Linked DNA regions of Caenorhabditis elegans. The protein of the gene in region 1 interacts with the protein of each later gene in a pairwise test. Each region holds a gene or a part of one and is shown on either strand. Other genes may lie near its edges.

The links.
Region 2: the proteins of par-2 (region 1) and uev-2 interact in a two-hybrid assay, tested with the Caenorhabditis elegans proteins (one study listed by BioGRID).

What each region holds. Positions count from the first base shown.
Region 1 is NC_003281.10:1,076,967-1,085,593, forward strand, and holds the start of par-2 (RING-type domain-containing protein), read left to right. Parts: upstream 1-4,428; 5' UTR 4,429-4,442; coding exon 4,443-4,553; intron 4,554-4,666; coding exon 4,667-4,750; intron 4,751-6,027; coding exon 6,028-6,165; intron 6,166-7,095; coding exon 7,096-7,167; intron 7,168-7,370; coding exon 7,371-7,495; intron 7,496-8,627. Other genes in the region: Ras-related protein Rab-18, read right to left, coding at 2,716-2,940, 2,992-3,245, 3,321-3,376, 3,439-3,515; kbp-4 (KNL (kinetochore null) Binding Protein), read left to right, coding at 3,954-4,143, 4,189-4,292.
Region 2 is NC_003281.10:5,579,463-5,586,811, forward strand, and holds uev-2 (UBC core domain-containing protein), read left to right. Parts: upstream 1-3,662; 5' UTR 3,663-3,678; coding exon 3,679-3,825; intron 3,826-3,932; coding exon 3,933-4,052; intron 4,053-4,093; coding exon 4,094-4,181; intron 4,182-4,273; coding exon 4,274-4,424; intron 4,425-4,564; coding exon 4,565-4,751; 3' UTR 4,752-5,060; downstream 5,061-7,349. Other genes in the region: F56D2.5 (RBR-type E3 ubiquitin transferase), read right to left, coding at 22-113, 161-274, 319-471, 839-1,117, 1,484-1,606; F56D2.8 (DUF4440 domain-containing protein), read right to left, coding at 2,426-2,473, 2,551-2,726, 2,772-2,949; F56D2.3 (DUF148 domain-containing protein), read left to right, coding at 5,600-5,722, 6,177-6,301, 6,447-6,651, 6,699-6,928, 7,143-7,323.

The DNA.
Region 1 (8,627 bases):
AATTTTCCCGAGTTTTTAGTAAAAATATCCAATTTTTATTGAATTTTTCAGAGTTTTCAGTGAAAAATTCCAATTTTTCCGAATTTTCTGAAAAAAAAAACCGAAAATTCGGAGAAATTCACGAAAAAATGGGTTTTTTTAATGGAAAAATAGCTGAAAATTCGGTGGAAATCGCGAAAAAATGAGTTTCTCTGAAAAAAAAAATAGCCGAAAATCAGGGGAAAACCGCGGAAAAATGGAGACAATTGGGCGAAAATGAGGAAATTTGGCGATTTTTTGGAAAAATCGTTGAAAATTCGGTGGAAATCGCGAAAAAATGGAGGTTTTTCTGAAAAAATAGCTGAAAAACCCGACAAAATGGCGAAAATATGGAAAAAAATAGGGTGAAAGTGAGAAAATTTGGAGTTTTTCTGGAAAAAATTGCTCAAAATCGCGAAAAAATGGAGAAAATTGGACGAAAATGAGGAAATTTGGTGATTTTTTAAAAAATTGCTTAAAATTCGGTGAAAATGCTGGAAAAATAGCTCCAAAACGATAAATTGTGAGAAAATAAACGGTATTTGAGTGAATTTGCCGAAAAAATAGGAGTTTTTCTGGAAAAAATAGCTGAAAATCCCGAGAAAATGGCGAAAATATGGAATAAAAAGGTTGGAAATGAAGAAATTTGGGGTTTTTTGGCGAAAAATTGTTTAAAATTCGGGAAAAACCGCGAAAAAATGGAGAAAATAGGTTGGAAATGAGGAAATTTGGTGATTTTTTTACGAAAAAAAAAGAAAATTCGGTGAAAATGCTGGAAAAAAGAGCTCCTCGCTAAAATAGGCGAAATTTGAGTGAATTTGCCGGAAAAAACTGAGATTTTTCTGATAAAATAGCTGAAAATTCGGTGAAAATCGATAAAAAATAGCTTAAATGATGAAAAATCGCTGAAAAATGAGATTTTGCTGAAAAATAGGTAGAATCTATAAAATTTCGGGGAAAATGATGGAAATAATAGAAAAATGGGTAAAAGCACACACAAAATTAGGCTGAAAATCAATAAAATTAGGTGAAAAATGACAAAAATCTCCCAAAAAAATCGATAAAAAAATAGCTGAAAATCTGCAAAAAATCGATGAAGATATGCTGAAAATCGCTGAAAACGAGAGAAAAAATAACACAAAAATCCAATAAATTACAGGAAAAATGTTGCAATTTTATAGCAAAAAAACGGGGCTTAAAGGCACTGAAAATGTGTGAAATTTGACAAGAATTATGTGAAATTGGGGGATTTTCGGGTGGTTTTTTGTACAATTTAGCGGGGAAAATGGACGAATTTTACATGAAAAATGGGGGAATTTTGGGGGAAAATCGACCTAATTTAGGTAAAAATCGATAAATTTTGCATGGAAAACGGGGATTTTTCGCGGAAAAATCGATGAATTTTGCACATTAAAAACAGCAATTTTGGGGAAAAATTGACAATTTTAAGACAAAATTGGCATTTTTACATGGAAAAGAACTTTTTTTTTAGGTGAAAATCGATGAATTGTGCATGAAAAACCAGCGATTTTAGGTCAAAATTGACATTTTACATGAAAAAAGGGCCTAATTTAGGTAAAAATCGATAAATTTTGCGTGGAAAATAGCTATTTTAAGTGAAAATCGATGAATTTTACACGGAAAAACGACAATTTTGGGGGAAAATTGGCGATTTTAGGCCAAAATTTGCATTTTTGCTCGGAAAAATGGCTAATTTAGGTGAAAATCGATAAATGTTACATGAAAATTGGAAATTTTGAGCCGAAATTGGTAATTTTACATGGAAAACAGCGATTTTGGGGGAAAATTGTCGTTTTTACATGGAAAAAATGGCATTTTTACATGAAAAAGTGTGGCAATTTTAAGCCAAAATTGGTATTTTTGTATGGAAAATAGCTTTTTTAGATGAAAATCGATAAATTTTGCACGAAAAACGGCGATTTTTGAGAAAAATTGACATTTTTACATGAAAAAGTGGCAATTTTAAGCCAAAATCGACATTTCCTCATGGAAAATAGCTATTTTAGGTGAAAATCGATAAATTTTGAATGAAAAACGGGGATTTCAGGTGAAAATTGGCAATTTCAAGTCAAAATTGACATTTTTACAGGGAAAAATAGCTATTTTAGGTGAAAATCGATAAATTTTGCATCGAAAACAGCGATTTTGATGGGAAATTGGCGATTTTAAGCCAAAATCGGCGATTTTCCATGAAAAACGGCCATTATGGGGGAAAATTTGCGATTTTAAGCCAAAATCGGCGATTTTACATGAAAAAATGGTTATTTTAGGTCAAAATTTGGCAATTTACATGAAAAAAAACGGGCTATTTTAGGTGAAAATTGATGAATTTTGCATCGAAAACAGCGATTTTGCTGGGAAATTGGCGATTTTAGGGGAAAATTTGCATTTTTACATGGAAAAAGGCCTAATTTAGGTTAAAATCGATAAACTTTGCATGAAAAACCAGCGATTTTAAGCCAAAGTTGGACATTTTTATATGGAAAAAACGGCGATTTTGAGGGAAAATTGGCGATTTTAAACCGAAATTCACGTTTTTACATGGAAAAAACAGGATTTTAGGTCAAATTTTGACAATTTACATGAAAAAAACAGGATTTTAGGTGAAAATTGATGAATTTTACAGTAAAAATATCGATTTTATGTCAAAATGAACGAATTTTCCGCGAGAATTTCCTAGCATCCACACATTCCGCCGCCACCACTGGAGCCCGTCGGTTGTCCCAACCGAAAAGACGGGCGGTCATTGTCCCATAAGTCGGGCGTTTGAATGATTTTCTCGATAAGCTCCTCAAATGTGCACTGTACACCCTCCTTAGTCTTCGCAGAAGCTTCAATGAATAGTGTGCGGTGGCGTTTTGCGAATTTTAGGCCTTCCTCGCGGGTTACCACTCGATTTGGCTGAAAATTATTTTTTAGGCCAAAAATCGAACAAAATCGGCTTTTTCGCACCATATCAATCTTGTTCGCGACCATCATCTTGATAATATTGTCATTTGTGCAATAAGTATCGACTTCTTGCATCCAATGATTCAATTTCTCGAAGGAGCTGCGGCTAGTGACGTCATACACGCAAATTACGCCCTGTGCTCCACGATAATAGCTCGGCGTGAGGGTACGGAACCTCTCCTGGCCGGCGGTGTCCCAAATTGCGAGTTTTACACGATTTCCGTCGATTGCCATTGAAGTTACGCGGAAATCCACGCCTAAAAAACAATAAATTTAGGGTTTTTTTGGCCTAAAAATCAAAAAATCCAAAAATCCCTGGAATTTCCACGAACCTATCGTTGCAGCCTGCTCAGGATCGAAGACATCGTCCACGAATCGTAGCATTAAGCTGAAAATTTTTGAATTTAAATTGATTTTTTTAAATTTTTTTTGGGCGAGAAAACCCCTCACCTCGACTTCCCTACGCCACTTTCGCCGATAATCAGGATTTTGAGAGTTGTGAGGGGGCTTGAACTGTCGTCGGACATCTGGAATTCGTAAAAACGAAGGGAAAATGCAGGATAATTTTTTTTTTGTTGGGAAATTTACGTTTTTAAGGATAAAAGATAAAAAACTCGATTTTTCAGGGTATTTTCCCCATTTTAAGTTAATTTTTTAACACTTTTAAATAGATTTTTCACCTTAAAACCCAAAAATTTGCCGAAAAATCAATAAATTTCCCTTCGAAAATGTCAGATGTCGTTGCACGAGACGCTCTTTCGGAAAAGAGAGCGATGGAGCGCACTTGCACTTGGCACGATGCCAAGTGCCTGTCGTGGTGAGACCCGATGGCGCGAAAATGGATTTGTTTGAAATTTGTTTTTTTGTTTTTTTAATTTTTAAACGTTTTTCGTGTTTTTTATTTTTATTTTTTTTGTTTTTTATAATTTTTCCAAATTTTTATCAGTTTTCAGCAATCAAAAAAAATGCAAAAATCAATCGACGACATGATCAACGAAGTTCTCGCGGTAAAAGTCGAAAAACTGCCGAAAACCCAAGATTTTTCGGATCTCCAAGAAGTTTGCGCCTCCAAACTGCAGATAATTAACAAGGAAATGGACGAGGCCGATCGGAAGCTGGAGGAGACGCTCGAGAAGCGAAAATTGGTGGAAAAACGTGAGAAATTTAGTGAATTTTCACAATAATTTTCCCATTTCCTAGAACTCGAAGACCTCCAGGAGCAGTATAAAGTCAAGGAATTCGCGTTTTCTCTTCAAAAAGAGTTTCAGGATGAGCTGAAGAAGGTCGCCGAGGAAATTTTCTAACAATTTTCATTATTTCTGTACATATAAAGTTCTGTATTCCTTAACCCCGTTGTTTTTCCCAGTTTTCTGTACTTTTCATGCATTTTATACTTATTTTTCAGCGTTTTTCAATGATTTTTCAGGCTCAAAATCCTCATTTTCAGCCCAAAAATGACGGATTTAGACACTTCATCCGCTCAAATACGGGCTTCGCAGAGCGATTTATCGATTGCCAACTCATCGCCACGTCTGCTGGAGTCCAACGCAACTACTTCTACAGCGGTAAAATCGGATTTTTAGCGGCGAAAAAAATCGAAAAAACGCATTTTTTGCTGGAAAATAAGCAGAAAATCGTGTTTTTCGCCCTGGAAACCGCCTAAAAACACAATTTTCAGTGCATCAACGACGTTCAACAGCCGGTTCGACGCGATTTGAGCTCGGAACTCCTCTGTCCACTGTGTGATCAGCTTTTCGACAGGGTTAGAACATGGAAATACCGAGGATTTCAAGAAAAATTGCGTGAAAAATGGCGGATTTTCCATTAAAAATCGCTTAATTTTACCCATTTTTGACCCAAAAATGTGCAATTTTCGTCTTTTTCCAGCTATAAATGTGAAAAATCGGGGAAAAATGCGAAATTTTCTCATAAAAACTTGAAATTCCGAAAATTGTCTTGTTTTTGCCCATTTTTCCAGATTTTCAGCCAAAAATCACGATTTTTTGGGGATTTTTAGCTAGAAAACCGCATTTTTTCCGATTTTTAGCATAATAATCACAGATTTTCTCGGATTTTTACAGTTTTTTGCCGATTTTTACGATTTTTAGACTAAAAACTTTGGATTTTTAAGATTTTCAGCACAAAAACCCCAGTTTTTCTCGGATTTTTACAGTTTTTAGCTTAAAAACCACAATTTTTCAGATTTTTTTCGATTTTCAGCTCAGAAACCCCAGTTTTTCTCGGATTTTTACAGATTTTAGCTTAAAATTTTGGATTTTTCCGATTTTTAGCCCTAAAAACCCCAATTTTGCCGGATTTTTTCGGTTTTTAGCCAAAAAACTCCAGTTTTTCCCATATTTTAACGATTTTTAGCTCGAAACCCACAATTTTTCCGGACTTTTACAATTTTTAGCCCAAAAAACCCCAATTTTTTCGGATTTTTCTGATTTTAGCTCAAAAATAACCGATTTTTTTCGGATTTTTCTGATTTTAGCTCAAAAATAACCGATTTTTTTCGATTTTCAGCTCAAAAACCTCCCATTTTTCCAGATTTTTCCAATTTTTTGCTCAAAAAACTTCAATATTTTAAGATTTTTTTCAATTTTCAGCCGAAAAATCCAAATTTTTCCGGATTTTTACAATTTTAACCCAAAAATCACACCGATTTCTGCCGATTTTTACACAATTTTTAGCTCAAAAATCACCGATTTTTCCCAGGATTTTCCCGATTTTTAACCCAAAAATCTCGGTTTCTCAGGATTTTTACAATTTTTAGCCCAAAAACTACACAGTTTTCTCCCGTTTTTTTACGTTTTTCATCTCAAAAATCACCCATTTTCCCAGATTTTTAGCTCAAGAAACCCCAGTTTTTCAGCGGAGTTTTCCGATTTTTAGCCCAAAAACCATCAATTTTCCCGGATTTTTCCAATTTTTATGTCAAAAATCCCAGTTTTCCGCCGATTTTTTCGATTTTCAGCCGAAAAACCCCATTTCTACCCTAATTTTTACAATTTTCAGCCAATTTTTCCAAATTTTCAGCCCGTAATGGTAACATGTGGGCACTCGTACTGTGAGCCGTGCATCGAACGACATACACGTGATACGAGAGCCTGTGTAATCTGTAAACTCGACGTTGGACCATTTGCAGCGATGATTCCCAGCATTACACTTGATAATGTACGACGGATTTTGATGCGAAATTCGGATTTTTCGACAGTTTTTACCCCGGAAAACCGTGGATTTTTACCTTAAAATCGCATTTGTCAGCCAAAAAACTCTAATTTTAGTCCGAAAAAACGATTTTTCACGGCAAAAACTACAAAAATACGCTTAAAAACCCGATTTTTTCCTCAAAATTTTGAATTTTGTGACTAAAAATTGCATTTTCAGCCATAAAAAGCATAGTTTTGGCTTAAAATTCAATTTTCGAAAGTTTTTAGCCTTAAAGGCCGAGATTTTGACTTAAAAATCACATTTTCCCGTGGAAAACTTGATATTTTTCAGCCAAAAAAACCACAAAAATACATTTTTCAACTTATAAATTATGCATTTTCGGTCAAAAATCCGATTTTTCCTTGAAAATCTTGCCGAAAATTCAGAAAAATGTTGACTTTTACATCTAAAATTTCTTGATTTTCGTTGGTTTTTACACTGAAAAACCGGAATTTTGACCTAAAAATAAACTTTTTCATAGGAAAACCTAAAAAATTATGAATTTTTGGGTTAAAATTCTCCATTTTCAGGGTAAAAATCTGTTGGAAGCCCTGAAAATTTTGATTTTGAAGCTATTTTTCGCATTTTTCGCAGAAAAACTCAATTTTAATCTCAAAATCCCGATTTTCCAGCTAAAAATCCCAAATTTTTGCATTTTTTCGCCGAAAAACTTAATTTTAGTCAAAAAAAATTGCGATTTTCTTGCAAAAATATCAATTTTTTGCAATTTTTACCTTGAAAACCCAGTTTTAATCTCAAAATCCCGATTTTTCAGTTAAAAATCCAAAATTTTTGCAATTTTTAGCTCAAAAACCCAATTTTCTAGCTAAAATCTCAAATTTTTGCATTTTTTCGCAGAAAAATACCAAAACATTCAACGAATTTTCGTTTCAGATGGTCCGAAAATTGAAAAACCAGGAGAATATCGAGAGCAGCTACGACGATTTGTTCATTTGTGAGGAAAAGGTTGAGTTTTTGCAGGAAAATGCGAATTTTCAGGGTTTTTGAGTGAAAAAATCATGAAAATTAGGTGTTTTTGACCCCAAAAGTCGGGTTTTTTCACCATTTTCAGTTGAAAAATCGTGGTTTTCCACTTTTTTTAAAGCTTAAAAACCCCCGATTTTCCCAATTTTTACCCCCTAAAAACCCGGATTTTTCACTATTTTCAGCTCCAAAAAGCGCCAACACCACCAATTTCGGAGGAAATTCCGGCTCAAAAAATGACGAGAAGCCTGTCACAACGGTCTAAACGACGCTTATTCTTCTCAATTGCGGGCCCAACGATTTGCTCGAGGTAGATGGCTGGAAAAGAGCTGAAAAAAGGCTGAAAATCTGGAAATTTCAGCTAAAAATATGGAAAAATCGCTGAATTTCAGTAAAAATCTTCGATTTTCAGCCAAAAAAGTCAATTTTTCAGTTAAAAAAAGCGAAAAAAATGCAGAAAAATTCGATTTTTCAGTCAAAAACCTCAATTTTTGAGCTTAAAACTCAATTTTTCCCTGTAAAAATGTGATTTTCCCTGAAAAAAACCTAATTTTTCAACTATAAATGAGTAAATCTCAGAGAAAAATGTAAATTTCCTGATTTTTCCGGAGAAAAATCCACTTTAAACCCAACAAATTGGAGAAAAAATAAAAAAAAAATCCAATTAAAAATCAAATTTTTGCGAAAAATGCTAACATTTCTAATGAAAACTGTAAAAATTGCAGAAAAATTCGATTTTTCAGTCAAAAACCTCAATTTTTGAGCTTAAAACTCAATTTTTCAACCAAAAAATGCGATTTTCTCTGAAAAAAACCTAATTTTTCAGCGAAAAAAGAGTAAATCTCATAGAAAAATGTGATTTTCCTAATTTTTCCTGCTAAAAATCTGAAATTCTGTTCAAAAATTTGATTTTTCGGGAAAAAAACTATAAAAATTGCGGAAAAATCCGATTTTTCGGTCAAAAACCTGAAAATTTGAGTTTAAAATTCAATTTTCGCCCAATTAAAACGCGCGTTTTAAAAAATCGATAATTGGTGTCATGGTGCACCCGTTTCGTAGCCTTTTTTGGTTAAAAATATCGATTTTACCCCCGAAAAATGCTAATTTTCGACGGAAAACGCGATTTTTAACCTCTTTTATGATTATTTTACACATTTTTTTGTTTTTTTAGTGATATTTTCGAGTTTTTTCCAGGATTTCAGCCAATTTTTCACTCTAATTTTGGTATTTTTCAAGTTTTTCGCCAGTTCCTCGGATTTTTTCGGTCAGTTTGGAGCATTTTTCATCGTTTTTCATGGATTTTCGCCGATTTTCTTGGATTTGTGACATTTCTCTGCAATTCGGCAGTTTTTGCTCAATTTTTGCTCAAATTTCCTGTATTTCCTTGGCTTTTCCCCCAGTTTCCAGCTCAAGTTGGAACAATTTTCTGCCAATTTTCATTG
Region 2 (7,349 bases), 4.5 Mb from region 1:
TCAATCTCCTAGGAATCTTACTTTGCAAACAGCTCCTCTCCTAGAGCCTCTTGCACCATACCCTGTTGGGCTTCATTTTCACATCCTTCTGCTAGACATGACATTGGTTTCGACTGAAAAATCCAATAAAAATATATCAGCTAAGAAAATTCAAACTAACCACAAACCCCTTGGCAATAGAAATATAATAGTTGAAAGTGCAGGATTTGCAGAAAACATGAGAACATGGCTGGAACTTTATGCAGTGCTGTCCCATTTGGGATTCGAAGCATACCTGGAAATTTTGATGAAAAATTAGAAAAAAAATACAAACGTTACTTGGCAATCGTAGAGGGTATTAACAAACTGTTCTTCAACAGCTTCCTCTTCTTTCTGTAGTATTTTCATTTTCAGAGATTCGATAGTCTCTCCTTGTCTGTTCAGTGCACATGCCTCGTTCAAATTTATAATTTTCGGAGTGTTCTGGGCCATCTGAAATTTGATAGTTGAAAAAGACGCCAGCTGCTTGAATCAAAGAACGTAGCAGTCGACATTCCGCAGAATTAAAAAAGTTAAATTCTGCATGAGATATCTAGATTTAAATTCGCTCAAAGGCATACCCGTGAGATGTCGGTCTTCTAATCAACATCCTACTTCTAATGAATATGTAATTTCTACTATCTGTGTAGACCGTTACATCTCAGAACGCTTTGCAGACGACATATCGCGGGTAGCCCATCTATGTCATTCAATAACGAACCAGCAAAATGTCGGCTGCAGTTAAATTTAGCAGAGGACACCTTACGTGTCTGAGATGTCGGCTCATAATGGTGCTTTTTATTTGATTCTCGCTACTCACCAAATCAATTATTGTCTGGTAGCACATAAAAAGCACCTCCATCATCTGGTTTTCCTCGCAAATCTTTGCCAACTCGGTTTCACAAGATGTCATTTGTTCCTGATTCATCCAATAACTTTCCAGTTCAAGTTTTGGTGATGATACGGTGGGATAATCATTTGGAAGATGGAATTTTAGTCGAATTGGAGGAAGAATGTCAAGAGGAAGATGAAATTGATCGCCGGAGTCAGATGTTCCTTCAATTGTGACTGTTGGATCGTATAAGTTGTCAAATCCGACCTGAAATTGCACTTGACTATTCTAAAACTCATTTAAAAAAACCAACTAACCAACTTTCAACCGTAACTTAGTGACTCTTCTAAAAAATACTTTACTCCATATATGGCCATATTAGTTTATCTCGTACAGGAAAATAGTCAACCGTGGCCAAAATTTCGGGCTAATGATTATGGAGGCTATTGAAATTTTCTATACTTTGTTACCTTAAATATTTTTGATAACTTACATAATTACGTAGAAAGTGTAGCTAAAATATAGTAAGGGTAGTTTCAGATAAATAATTTTTTGTTGTTATTTAGTGGACATTAAATTACTTTTTTAAAAGTTAAAATACCCCAGCTTCTCTCAAAAAACCAAAATCTTTACCTCAATAATTCCCTGGATTTCAGCATTCTTATCACTCCAATCACTGGATTTCGCCAGTTTCTTCTCTCTTAGAACACTTTCCAATGCTTCCAATTCATATATTTGCAGGTCACGATCAGTCATTTTTTATCGATTTTTAGACAAGAGACGCAGAGATTCAATAGACGGAGTTTAGGTAATTTAGAAATGAATGTTCAGGAATTTATAGAAAATATTTTACATTATTAGTCAAAAATGTTCAAACAATATATGAGGAAAGTTTGCGGAACAAAAATCAAAATTAATTACTAAAATATTGCGAAATATTGCAAAATTGTAATGAGTAAAATTGCGCAATGTGATAGATAACCTGTTGTGGAAACGATGAGAAATACAATTTGAAACTTTAAATTTAGAGTATTATCAGTGAGAAATTGTTCAACTTAAATTGTGTTTTTCTCTACGTGATGTGTACTTTAATTGCGTTTCAATTGTTTGTATTTAAACAATCGAAGAGTTCAAATTTGCAGCAATGCTTGAAATTGCCCCCAAAAGTTCAATTTTTCAATTTGCCAAACCTTTCACTAAAATTTTTGAAAAATGTATCTATCCATGTACCTTATTCTTCAGGAATTGATAAAATCTATCGATTCATAAAAAACTAAAGCTATTCCAACAGAATAGAAAAACACAATGTTCAAAAATGAAAGAATATTAAAATCATGTGAAAAGGGAAAACTTCCAGAAAGTCGACTCTTCTCGTTTACTGCGTTTTGTGAATATCTGAAAACTTTGTACGGATTTGTTACCATTTCTTCAATAGGCCGTGTATCATTCTGTCAATTTTTGGTGGATAGGTAAAATGTAACAGCCAATTTGATTTCTGAAAAGTTTTCGAAACATTTTTAAATATATTTAAAACATTTATTTAGGTCATACAAGTCCCGATATTCGAATATGAAACTACATCCAATCACTGAAGTGCACCATTGTCCAGCCTTTCCATTTGTTCTGCAAATTAAAATTTATCTACAAATCTATTCTGGTGATTGCGGCTGGATAAAATTTTAGTCCAACTCCCTGATTACCTCGTATTTTATCTTGAAAATAGTCGTTTTTTTGGACAAAAGGGGCGTGTTGGGGTAATATCTGACATTAATCTGAATGACTCCATACTCGTAGCGAACTCGTTCAATTATTCCGGTCGGATAAGATTCAAAAGATTTGATGATTCCCTGTGCCGCTTCAATCATGCCACTGACAGCTGAAAATAACTAAATTTCAAAATTGTTTCTGATATCGTACTTACGAAGCATATCATCCGGAGCAAAAAGATCCACTACTGCAACTGGGTCCCCTGATTTGATAGCTGCCTGGAACTTTTCGAAGAACTCCTTCGGTACGTTGGCATATTCTTCGGGGACTGGATCCAATGAAAAGACAATAGAAGCACTTGAAAGAGCTAGAAGAAAAATTGGAAGACGCATATTTTGGTTTGGCTACATGGCGAACTGAGCATTTTTATAGTTCGAAATGCTAATTCAATTAGAATGTGAAAATTGTCAATCAATGCGGAGGTTGATGTTTGGTGTCGTATTGATGATCATGATCATTTTGGGCATTTTGAAGACACCACATGGGTTCTGCCGCGTACGGTATCCGGTCTCGTCATGATAAATTTTAGCTGAATGAAAAAGCGTGTGCAGTGTGTGGCAGAGGAGTTGCGTCATTCCACGTTTAAAAGTGTGCCCAACATCAGATATACCTTTAATCCTCCAACCCGTCGGAATCAAGTAGCTCACACACACACACACACATACATAATCTGAGAGCACGTGTAGTTTTTGTTACATGCTCAATTCTAAAACAGAGGGCGCGAGAGAGAAAGAGGCCATCTCTAGGACAACGTACTAATGATAGAGAGACGGCATCCGCTTCTGTGTGATTATGTAGCTCTTTTTCTCTCGTACCTGCCTCTTCTTCAACTTGTGATATTATCCCACGTATTCATACTCTCTTCTTCACTTTTTGTTTGAAGCTTCTGGTTGCCTTAGGCCTCGTGGGATAATATGCAACGTTTTGTGCGCTTTAAGAATATATTCACTGTAGCTTTTTCAAATAAGATCCAGCTTAGGTTCAGTTAACGCGGCTCCGGAAGCTTCGTCACGAATTGGATTACTTTGACTTTCCAGATTAGAGCTTAAGCTTTCAGAAACATGCGAAGACGTAGCAACAGACAATATGTTGATCTCTCATATTTTCGCGAAACTGCCGATGCGCTATTATTCGACGTTGAAACCAATTCACGCGAATTCACCAATGAAATCAACACTGTGAAGGAGGAGAAAGCCAAGTGGGATGAGGTAAGCTTTCACACAAAGTTTAACTCGCCTGCCTACCTGGGACCTAGGCCTGATTTATGCCTACTTCAAAAGTGGGCGTGGCATGTGTCGAAATAACTTTTTTTCAGAGAACACCGCAAGGGTATACGGCAAAGCCAATTAGTTTTGAGGGCGCAGACATATGGTGTTCTTGGATATGTACAGTACCTGGACCGAGAGGAAGCCCCTGGGAGGGAGGGGAATATGAGGTTTAATTACTTTTTAGTTCGCAAAAGTATATTATCTCCAGGTTTCCGTGAACTTTCACAAATGGCCTATAATTCCGCCAATTTGTGAATTCAAAACGCCGCTTCATCATCCGAACGTGGACCTCAGAGGTTGGTTAGAACTGTTTCGAAAAAATATGTTTGAGTGTGAAATACAGAAAACGGTAGCAAAAAGAAACGCATTATTACAAAAATCTTTACAGGATCAATTTATCTTAAAATGCTGGAACAAGAGCACTGGTCTTCTGAAACTTCACTCAAGAAACTTCTGAGGGAAATCAGCAATCTACTTGCAACGCCCGATCTTACTCAAGCTGCAAATATTGAAGCCTGGATGGAATATGAGAATCAGCGGTTAGATATATTTTAACGGCGCACAGCTGCAAATGTGAACAAACTCGGCCACCTATTCTTCTAGGCCACTTCGATTTGGAGCTAAGCGTCGTTGAACAGAGAAAAGAGAACACTTAACTTTTAAAATTATCTTGTTCCAGTGAAAATTACGAGGCTAAAGCTCGAGCTTATGCTTGGACAGTTAACCCGAACGCCGTGGGATACATGGAAGTATCCGAGAATTCCGGAATTCAGAGGGAGACAGCAAAGGCTAAGTTGGCAGTGCAAAATGGTGCCATGGAATCGGACGAGGATGATGACGATCTACCAATTGACATCGAAAACTAATATTACACAAATTTTTATATTTTTGGTATTGGCCAACGTTTTCTGTTGAAGACCTTTTCCACTTTCTCAAAACTTTCTTGCCGACACTCTATGGAATTTTTCAGATTTTTCTCCAAAAAGGTGCCAATTTTCTATACACATTTATTTAAATCCCAATGCCCCTTTTTTGCAGCAAACTTACCTGACCTATGTGATAATTTTTCCCATTTTCCCTACTTTCCCGATCACACCAATTTTTCATTCTCTTTCCAAAACCATGTCTTTTTACGAAAAAAGTGATTATTGTACCAAATAAAGCTATTCCAAACTCGTTGAGTCGGGGTGTCCTCCCATTATCTCTTAATGAAATGGCAGAACAAGAATAAATCTACGTAGTCAACATTTGTAGGCAGGGAGGTATGCTTGACTAAGCTCCAGTCTACTAAGGATTTAAAAAACTCGGCCACCGATTTCTTGTTCTCGGCCACGTTGCAATGAACCGCAATGCCCTTCAAAAAGAGGTGATACTCGTGATTGCACGTCATTACCTCATCCCCAATGTCTATATTTACTTCTCCCGCACACCTTGTCAGATATCTGCACTGTTCATGGTGTGCTCATCGCCTCGCGGAGAGAGCTCTAACCCAAAAGTTTTAAACGTAAAAAGCCGGAAACGGTATAGGTTTATCGGTTCACCGAGAGCGCGCCTAGATCGTGTGGTACCGCCCCTCCTCGCCTCCCGTCAAAGGTCTCTATTTACTCCCAAACAGTGTGCTCTCGGAGCCTCCCGATCCCCCTCGCTGACCATTGTCCACTCCACTCGACCGTGCACAGTTGACTCCTTTTTTTGTACTAGTCGGTTGTTGGAAATGAAACGTATTCTTTTGATTTCTCTATTTTCGGCGGTTGTCAACGGCTTTTACTACAAGAGAACTTTATACGGAGATGCTAATGAGGGAGCTGCCATGCCAGACTATGTTAATGCTTATTATGTGAGTTTTCTTGGCTTGTAGGATTTTTAAGTGGCAGTTTCGGCAGAGATTTCACATCTAAAATATAGTTTTTGAGTTGTTTTGCAACAAGTCAGCCAAAAAATCGGTGGCCGAGTTTTTTGCTTTCCGCGGCCACGTAGCGAAAATCCCAAGGTTAATTATTACAAGGTCACAACCATTTCGGTATGTTGTGTAGATTTTTCTAATTGAAACTAGATCAGAACACAAACGCCTGCTTGCTTGCCTTCATTCACCTACGCTTGTATCAAGATTGTGCACATTGAAAGTAGGCGTGTAGACAGGCACGTAGGTACCAAGGACTGAAGATTTCATGAAAACAACACCAAACACCAGAGTCCAGCAAGAAAAAAAACCAAAAAATAATAGGCAAGCTTTCATGAAAACGAGTCTGCCTACCAAGCCTTATTGAAAATTCTGAACATTCATTTTCCAGGGTTTTCCAACAATCCCAACACAAGAGCCACGTCGGCGACCATCTTTCAACATGAATCCACCACAAGGATATTTTCATCGGGAGCATCCATTTGACTTTGGGCCATTTGGTTATATGAGAGCAAGGTAAGTTCCGGAATAGGTGGCCAAGTTTTATCTCCTCGCGGCCACTTAGTAAAAAACTGACCGTAGCGCCAGATTACAACGATAATCTATTCAAAACTCACTTTAGACGGTACCTTAGCAACAAATAATCTTGATTTTCCTTCAGAATTGGAGAAGCCAACTTCGGTGAGCCCATGGAGAAAACTGACCGCGAGCGAGCTATGGAACGGGCCAAACCGGGATTTTGGCGTCAAAACCAACGCGAAACCATGGATCGGATCAAGAAAATTATTGGAGAGCAGAGAATGAATATGGAGCAGAAGCAAATGCATATTCGAAGAGTTCTAGCAAATGAGAGTGATGAGATAAGGGTAAGAAGATAAATAATTTTTTCTCAACAAACACAAACATTTTTCAGTCCAAATTCGCTGATATTCACAAAAGACTGATCATGAAAAACAACAAGATGACCGTCTCCTCTCCAGTTCCAGAGCTTAGCAAACAGGCGAAGAAGCTTGAGAAAGAGGCCAAGAAAATTATGGAAAACAAGAAAATGAGTGTAGAGAAGAAGCAGGAGAAACTTGACAAACTTATGCTTAAGGCTCCAGAGAACGTTAAGAATGAGCTCAATGCTATGAACGATTCGGGGTGAGCATTGAGTTTTTCATGGTAGGCAAGACGCGCATGTAGGCAGGCGCAGGTTGCATGGGAGGCAGGAAGCAGGCGTTACATGGTATTCCTAAAAAGATTCCAATCCGTGTAACACTCTCGGAGAATTCAATCATATCAAAATTGATTGATGCTTAGTCGATTTTTGTGTTTCTCCTCTATTGCTCTCTTCGAAAAATCTCAAATCTTTCAGATCAACACCTGCCCCAATTCAAGCTCCATTCCCAGCTCCAGGACAAACCGAGGCTCTTAATCGGGCAAACCCATCAATGGCTTCTCAAGTTGAAGTAATGACTCGTAATGCACCAACTCAAGCAGTGGTTGAAGCTCGTCAAATCCGAGTTTCCGAAGATGGAAAAACTGTGGAAATTTAAATAATCTGTGCTCTATGAGCAATTCT